2 linked regions of the Caenorhabditis elegans genome follow. The protein of the gene in region 1 interacts with the protein of each later gene in a pairwise test. Each region holds a gene or a part of one and is shown on either strand. Other genes may lie near its edges.

What was found. Proteins that work in one complex are often made in the same cells at the same time.
Region 2: the proteins of fbxo-11.2 (region 1) and mek-1 interact in a two-hybrid assay, tested with the Caenorhabditis elegans proteins (one large-scale study listed by BioGRID).

What each region holds. Positions count from the first base shown.
Region 1 is NC_003281.10:1,051,498-1,055,251, reverse strand, and holds the start of fbxo-11.2 (UBR-type domain-containing protein), read left to right. Parts: upstream 1-2,009; coding exon 2,010-2,136; intron 2,137-2,469; coding exon 2,470-2,599; intron 2,600-2,663; exon of another isoform or gene 2,664-2,868; intron 2,869-2,885; coding exon 2,886-3,408; intron 3,409-3,754.
Region 2 is NC_003284.9:7,477,206-7,480,959, reverse strand, and holds the start of mek-1 (Dual specificity mitogen-activated protein kinase kinase mek-1), read right to left. Parts: upstream 1,713-3,754; 5' UTR 1,705-1,712; coding exon 1,521-1,704; intron 1,472-1,520; coding exon 1,239-1,471; intron 1,189-1,238; coding exon 1,045-1,188; intron 990-1,044; coding exon 678-989; exon of another isoform or gene 552-677; coding exon 381-551; 3' UTR 1-380. UniProt on the Caenorhabditis elegans protein: Dual specificity protein kinase which may phosphorylate kgb-1 and thereby is an essential component of the JNK pathway composed of mlk-1, mek-1 and kgb-1. May also have a synergistic role with sek-1 in phosphorylating pmk-1.

The DNA.
Region 1 (3,754 bases):
TCAAATCCTTCTAACTTTTTCAGTTTGTAAAATATTTTGCCAAATTTTAGCTCAAAATAATTTTGAAATTCATATTTTTCAAAAATTGTACATTTACTTTAAAAAAAACTGTAAAATGCCTGTTTTCCAAGAGATTTCCTGTAAGCCCTTAAAATTTTTTTTTGGAATTTTGGAAAATTTTTTGTTTTTTTTCAAATCCTTCTAACTTTTTCAGTTTTTGTGGCACTTTGCCAAATTTTAGCACAAAATAAGCTCCAAAGCTTGGAGTAGTAGTTTAGTTTAAAAATCCTTAAAAGTTTGAAAAATATCAGTCTACCAAGAGTTTCCGTGGGGGGTCCTCGAAATTTTTTTTAGTTAAATTTATTTTTTTCGGAAAATTTCAAAACCCCCTAACTTTTTTAGTTTTAAAGATTTATATACCAAATTTTAATTTAAAACAAGCTAAAAATTTATATTTTTCAAAAAATTGTACGTTATCTAAGAAAGCTGCAAAATTTGTGGCTGTCATAAGTTTTCGTGGAAGGATTTTGAATTTTTTTTTGGCAAATTTTAAAAAAGTTCAAAACTTCATAACTTTTTCAGTTTTTGAGATATTCTGTTAATTTTTAGCTTATAAATAGTTCAGTTACTTAGACTAACAGGTTAATTTAAAAAATCTTTTAAAATTTCGCAAAATATCATTCCACCGAGAGTTTCCGTGGGGGTCCTCAAAATTTTTTTTTTGAAAATTTCAAACCATCCTAACTTTTTCAATTTTTCCGTAATTCTTGTCAATTTTAGCTCAAAATGATCCTTAAAACTTTCTCTCCCCATCCAAACAGGTGTGAATCAACATATTGCGCAATGCTGAGACGCAGGGTGGGCCGGAGGGGACGGTACTAGGCTAGTACGCGCGGCTGGCCGGGCGGCGGCCTCGTTACGGAAAAGTGGAAGAGTGAGGAGAGATATAGAAGAAGTGTGACCTATTTCCCGCATACAATATCTCCCCGTACCGTCATCTTTTCCTCCTCTCTCTCTGTCTCTCTTTGTCCCTCTCTCCGATTTCCAAGGATTTTTGCATAAATCCGTCACGTGGCACGAGTTTTCTGGGTCCTGCCACGCAAACTCGTGGCGTGCTGTCATTTATGAATTTTGCTAAAGTTGTTTATTTGAACCTGAAAATTGAATTTCCGGGGCTTATTTTAATCTAAAAATGAAGCAAATAGCTCCAAAATTGAGAAAGTTGTGAGGTTTTGAAAATTCCAAAATTTTCAATTTTTTTTTTGAAATTTTAAGTTAAGGTGCCATCACGAAAACTTCTGATTAAAAAGTTTTAATTAATTTTCCATGAAAATTCATATTTTTGCGGTCATTTTGCATTAAAAATCGTAGAAATATCTTAATTTATTAAAAAGTTAGAAAACTTTGAATATCTGAAATTTTTGCCAAAAAATATTTTTACAATTTTTAGGTCCCACCACGAAAACTCTCAGCAATTCAAGATTTTCAGAGTAAGACATTTTACAATAATTGTAACTTAAAATTCAAGTTTCTACTGTTATTTAACATTAAAAATTATAGAAATATCTCAAAAATGGAAAAAGTTATGAAATTTTTAAAATTTCAGTTTTTTCAGCAACTAAATTTTCAAGGTCCCGCCACGAAAACGCTTGGCAAACTGAAATTTCTCTGTTACGGTCATTTTGAGTTATTTTGTAGGAAAATTCAGAATTTCACAATCATTTTTCCCAAAAAATGATAAAAATATCTCAAAAATTGAAAAAGTTGTGAAATTTTTGAATTTTTGAACTTTTTCCTAAAAACGTTTTTTTGACAACTCCCAATTTCTCGGAAATTTCCAAATTTTCTCAACTTTACCCCAAAATTTTATGTGTGACCTCTACTAATACCATAACAATAACAACAATAGCCTCCAGACCCCCCCCCCCCCCTCAGCCGACCTTCACAGGTGTCTTACACCGTCTGCGTCTCTGCCCCCTCTCCCCACCGCCTAGCCTACATGCTTGCAGATGTCCGGCGAGGAGGAAGAAGAATGGCGTGTACTTTACCAGGAGACCTTCGGCTATCGCCTGCCGCTTTTTCACCCCGAACATGCCGTTTTTCAGTTTCAACCCGCGCCGAAGCAAAAGTTTACAGGTGAGAACTGGAAAAAGCTACGTAACCCGCGCTACAGTAACCCAGTCACCTTGAAATTATTGCCATTCGATTTCTCTCGCTGAGAGCTTTCAAATGACACCCATCATGCCTATGCTCCAACGATTTTGAGTTTCGACACAGCTGAAACTGATGCTACAGTACCCCGCGTGGCGAGACCCAAATTTCCAAAACTGCTCGGAACCCGGGCATGATGGGGGTCATTTGAAAGCTAACAACAAGACTAACAAAATGCTGATATTTAAAAATTAATAGGGCTACTGTAGACCGGGGGGTTAATGTAGGTTTTCTGCAAAAAAAAACAGTTAATTTCAGACGAAGAGTTCAATCCGTGGAAGGAGGCCTACGAGCAGTTGAGCCGCGGCGTTCATGTCATGAAAAATTTGGAGCAATTTGTGGGAGCCGCCGATATTCAATGTTTCGATCATATTGAGGAGGCCTTGAGGTGTGAACTTGGACTTAGGCTTGGGCTTAGGCCGATGCTTAAGCTTAGAGTTCGGCTTAGGCTTAGGCTTAAGCTTAAGCTCAGGCTTAGGCTGATTCTTAGGCCTAGGCGTAAACTCAGGCGTGGGTTTAAGCTTAGGCTTAGGCTTATGCTGATCCTTCGGCTTAGGCTTATGCTCAGGCTTAGGCTTAGGCTTTGGCTTTGGCTTAGGCTTAGGCTTAGGCTTAGGCTTAGGCTTAGGCTTAAGCGTTGGCTTAGGTTCAGGCTTAATCCCAAAAATTTCCAGATTCCTCGACGAAAACGACGAGGGTGGTCACCACGAAAAGCTGATCTTCCTGCACGAAGGCACCCATGAAGTCACGCACACCATCCGAATCACCTCCGACGTTCAGATCCTCGGCGCCTCGGGCTCCGAAGACATTGCCACGTCCGTGGTACTCACCGGACGCCACGCGACTGTACTGGAATTCCAGAGCAGCGCCTACATGGGCTATGTGACTGTGAAGTATGAGGTGGACACGGAGCACGAGGCTCACGTGGCTCAGGATATGGAGGTGGATGCTCCCAGAGCTGGTGAAGAGGTGCCTGTGGGGGAGCCCGGCGGAGCTCCTGGAGCTCCTGGAGAGCCTGGAGAGCCCGAGGAAGCCCTGGAACCTGAAAAGTTGCTGGAAGCCCACACGGATCCCACTACGAATTGCGCCATGATAGTTACCGGGCTGCACGTGGAGCCCATCATTGAGCACTGCAATTTTCAGTCTGGTAATGCTGACAGTCATACTGTAGTTGTCAAGGATCACGCTGCACCGAAGGTAAGTTTTTCACAAAATTTTTATAACTTAAAATTGAAAAAAATTGAAAAAAAATGTTTTTTCAAAAATTTCCAAAAAGTTACCAGGCTGGTTTTTAACCTAAATTTCAACAAGATAAATAAAAAATTCACCCTAAAAATTACCACCACACTTCTAAAATTTCAAATAAATATCGAAAATTTCAGTTGAAAATCGAAAATTTCCCATGAAAACTCATGTTTCTCAAAAGCTAAGCTCCCAAAATTATTGAAACTTTACCCAAAAAATTTCCAGGTATTTTTTGATAGTATGATCATTTAGAAAGTGTAGTCCGTGGCTTTTCAGCTATTTCCAGCGGAGCTCCAAA
Region 2 (3,754 bases), on another chromosome or scaffold:
GAACAATTTGAATCACAATTTTAATGTCCACAGTAATCTCTGACGAGAAGACTAGCTGTGGATGGCTTAACTTTGAGACATATCATAATCAAAATATACAATCAATTAGGCCTACAATGATACTATACATCCGGAACATTCAAGTTTGGTAGACAGGGATTCGGTGAGAGAGGTTGGGAATTTTTGATAGAGACAACGGGAACGAGAACAAGTGAAAATAGGGTAAAAGTGGTAAATAGGGTAAATAAGGTAAAAAAGCAAAATTGAAAAACTTTGCACCATGAATGCTAGACCAGGAAATGTTATGAAAGAGATAGTGAATGGGATTGATAGTTTTTACAAATGATTTGGGAAATAACAATACGTTTGTAATTCGACAATTATCCGCACTCGCCCATCACATCGGCAAACCACTCCTCGACGTCGGTTTCAATTTTCTCGTGATGCACGACAAACGGATGCTGGAGGAGCATATCGTAATTGGGACGCATCGTTGGATCACGCTGCAGGCAGCTCTCGACGAGTTGACAGAAGTCCGGAGAGAATTTGGCCTGTAAAATTGTAAAATACATAAATACTAGTTGTGTACTGTTTCTAGCCGCCATAAAGCATATATTATGTCTACTGGTAGCTCTTAAAAGCTTTTTCTAGATGAATTTTTTACGAAGAGCACATACCGGATCCAGGCGCGGTGGCTCGTCATTGAGAATCTTGGACATCATGTCGAATTCGGTTCCGGCGTATGGGTACTGTCCGGTTGCCAGCTCGACCAAAGTAACACCAAAAGACCACACGTCACTGCGAATGTCATACGAGTCAAAGTTGTTGGGGTCGAGGCGCTCAGGACCCATGTACAGAGGGCATCCGGCTTGCTTCGAATGAGCACGAGACTCGATCAGTCTGCCAGCAATACCGAAATCGCAAAGCTTGATGACGCCACTCCAGTCGAGGAGAATGTTTGATGGCTTCACATCACGGTGCATGATTTGCTAAAAAAATCGGATTATATATTGTCCAAATGGTTCATCTGATTTATAAACTTACGTGCTTGGTTTTCAAGTAGTGCAGAGCTTTAATGATGCTCACACTCAACTTTCCAATAATTCTCTCTGGAATTGGCTGCTTGATGCGGATAAGCAGACGGTCAAGGCAAGTAGCCATGCACTCCATGCAGACACGGACGTCGAACTGAAAAAAATGATAATTGGAAAAGTCAAAGAATTCATAAAAATTCTTACGTTGGTGATGAAGTATCCGAAGCAACGTACAATGTACGGACAGTCGAAAGAGAGACAGATGACGTCAAGATCCATCAAAATGCGGGACATTTCATAACTGTTTGACGTCCGAGGCATCGTCTTCACAGCCATGATCACACTCTTGTATCTGCACTTTGTGACCGTACCGCAGCTTCCATGACCAATATCTTCCACGAACTGAAGCTCCTTCAAGTCAGCTTTACGACGGTTACCTAAAAATCAATTGTTACCGTTTCAAGATTATTTATTTAGCCAAATTACCTTGCAATGTGAGATATCCGGAGTTCTCCTCGGCCTGCTTCATGAGGTTCTTCACATTGTGGTCGTTACTACTACGGGATGGATGATGAGGCGCTGGCTGTGGCATTTGTTGCATGATCGGTTCACCACCAAGTCCTCCGAGCCCGCCAGGTCTGCCCATGCCAAGGTCGAAGTCTCTCTCCATCTTTTCACCTTAAAATTATTATTTTTAGTACAGAGAAAAAAAGAGATAAAGAAATATCAGGAAGAATCAAAATTTTGAATTTATATTTCTAGGATGAAAATATAAATTGTTGGGGCACGAAAAGAAGTGCACTAGCATTTCTAAGAATGAGAGTGGCTATACATATAAATAATAGGGGAAGTTATAAGAAAATGTCTTTGCTCTCATCATTACTCTCATCTCAATGCACTTTCGAAAAGTTCATGTACGAAATTAGAATGCATGATGTTGTTGCAAACAAGCCTCGTTTACGTCAATGGAAAGGCTCTTGCCTTTTGTGTTGGCTGAATATAGCAGCTGAAAACAAAAAGCGTATTAGCTTATACGACGAGGGGATCAAATGAGAAAGAGCTGCTGCCAAAACGAGAAAGGCAACGTTTTGAACTACTTTTCATTCTTGCCATGAGGATTAAATTGCATTACATCATGGTGAAAACATGGCATCACAGCAGCAAAAATGTCTCGAAAAGCGGCAAGACCGCATTGACGCCGTCGCAATTCCAATGCGGCGAGGGAGGAGGGAAGGGAGAGAAAAAACGAACGGCACACACACACACAAGTGAGACACACTGCGTAAATAAGTGCAAGAGTTACGTTGAAACACCGGGCACGCGACGCGACCGCGTGCGCACCCCCCTTCCGTTTCAAAACATTGGCGGTCCGTTCCCCATTTTTTTTTGTTTTCGACCTGTTTTTGCGATAGGTCAACTTTGAACTGAAGTTTATGTCAAAACGATTTGGTTATTTTGAATTTCCGGCATTGAACTGTTGAGTGAATAGAGTAAGAGTGTTAGAGAGAAAAAGAAAACAAACAAATTGTGATATGATAATTTCTGAAGGAAAAGTCAAGAAAAGCTGGGACTTTTCTGATTGATAATGATAAAAAACATTGATCATCATGTGAGGACAGCAACTATTATATAGTTTCTTTTGTAAAACAAAAAAAACGTTGGAAATTCAGAGAAAAGATTGTTTACCACTAATAATGTAATCGAATTGCGGTTAAAAAAGGCAAATAATAGTGTCGCGGAAAGTGGGAAAATTCCTAATATTTCGTAATTGAGAAACCATCGATTTCGAAATTAGGAGATAACATTGAGAATACTATTGTATGTATTTGAGAAGACGCAAACAAGAATTTCGACATTTTTTCTAATAAATGAGGAGACCCAATCAAATAAATAAAAACTATTTTTTTTTATATTTAAAAGCGGTGCTGGAAAATGTGGAAAGTCAAATTCTGAAAAACAACGAGGTGAAAACATTTTCTGATTTTAATTAGTCAGATAAATGCTAGAACACCAAATGCAAAAATCTCAAAATGTCTTGAATTCCATAAATAACAAATGCAGAATCAAGCCTAGTCATCGTGGCATTGTGGTCGTTACACTAAATCAGATATGGACCAGTTGTTGCATGACTCATCTCACAAGGTGCAGAGTTGGGAGCCTCTAACTTGTTTGTCGGCGACTGAGTTGATGGAAAATTATCAAAATTATGTCAAATCTTGATGGTTCATGATATGTTGAATTAATGCTTAATGTTTCTAGATATAGAGAATAGAACAAAAAAAAACTGGTCAGAGCAATTGCGCTGAACACAGAGAGCGTAGGAGCGGAGAGGAATCGATAATTGCGCTTTCATCCTTATCAGAAAAAATCATGATGTCTTTTATCATCCATATTTCGCAAAGTAAGACTGCCTCTTGGCAAGTGGTATTGGAGAACAAACACGTTTGCGTAGAGATTTACGAGATATACGATTAAATGTGATTGTTCGCCACACAAAAGGTCAGTTTCAAACAATTTTCTATTAATGGTCCAAACATGAAGGCATAACAAAAAAAGTTGCTGATGAGATTGCAATAAATACAAAATTTGAGTCACGGGGAGGCGGGGCTGCCACAATGAATGACTCACGTTACGGAGTGGGTGGGCGCGAAGCGGCTATTTCAAACAAATAAATAACCACACTGTTTATGGAGGAAAGAAGAATGAATGAACATTTTAAA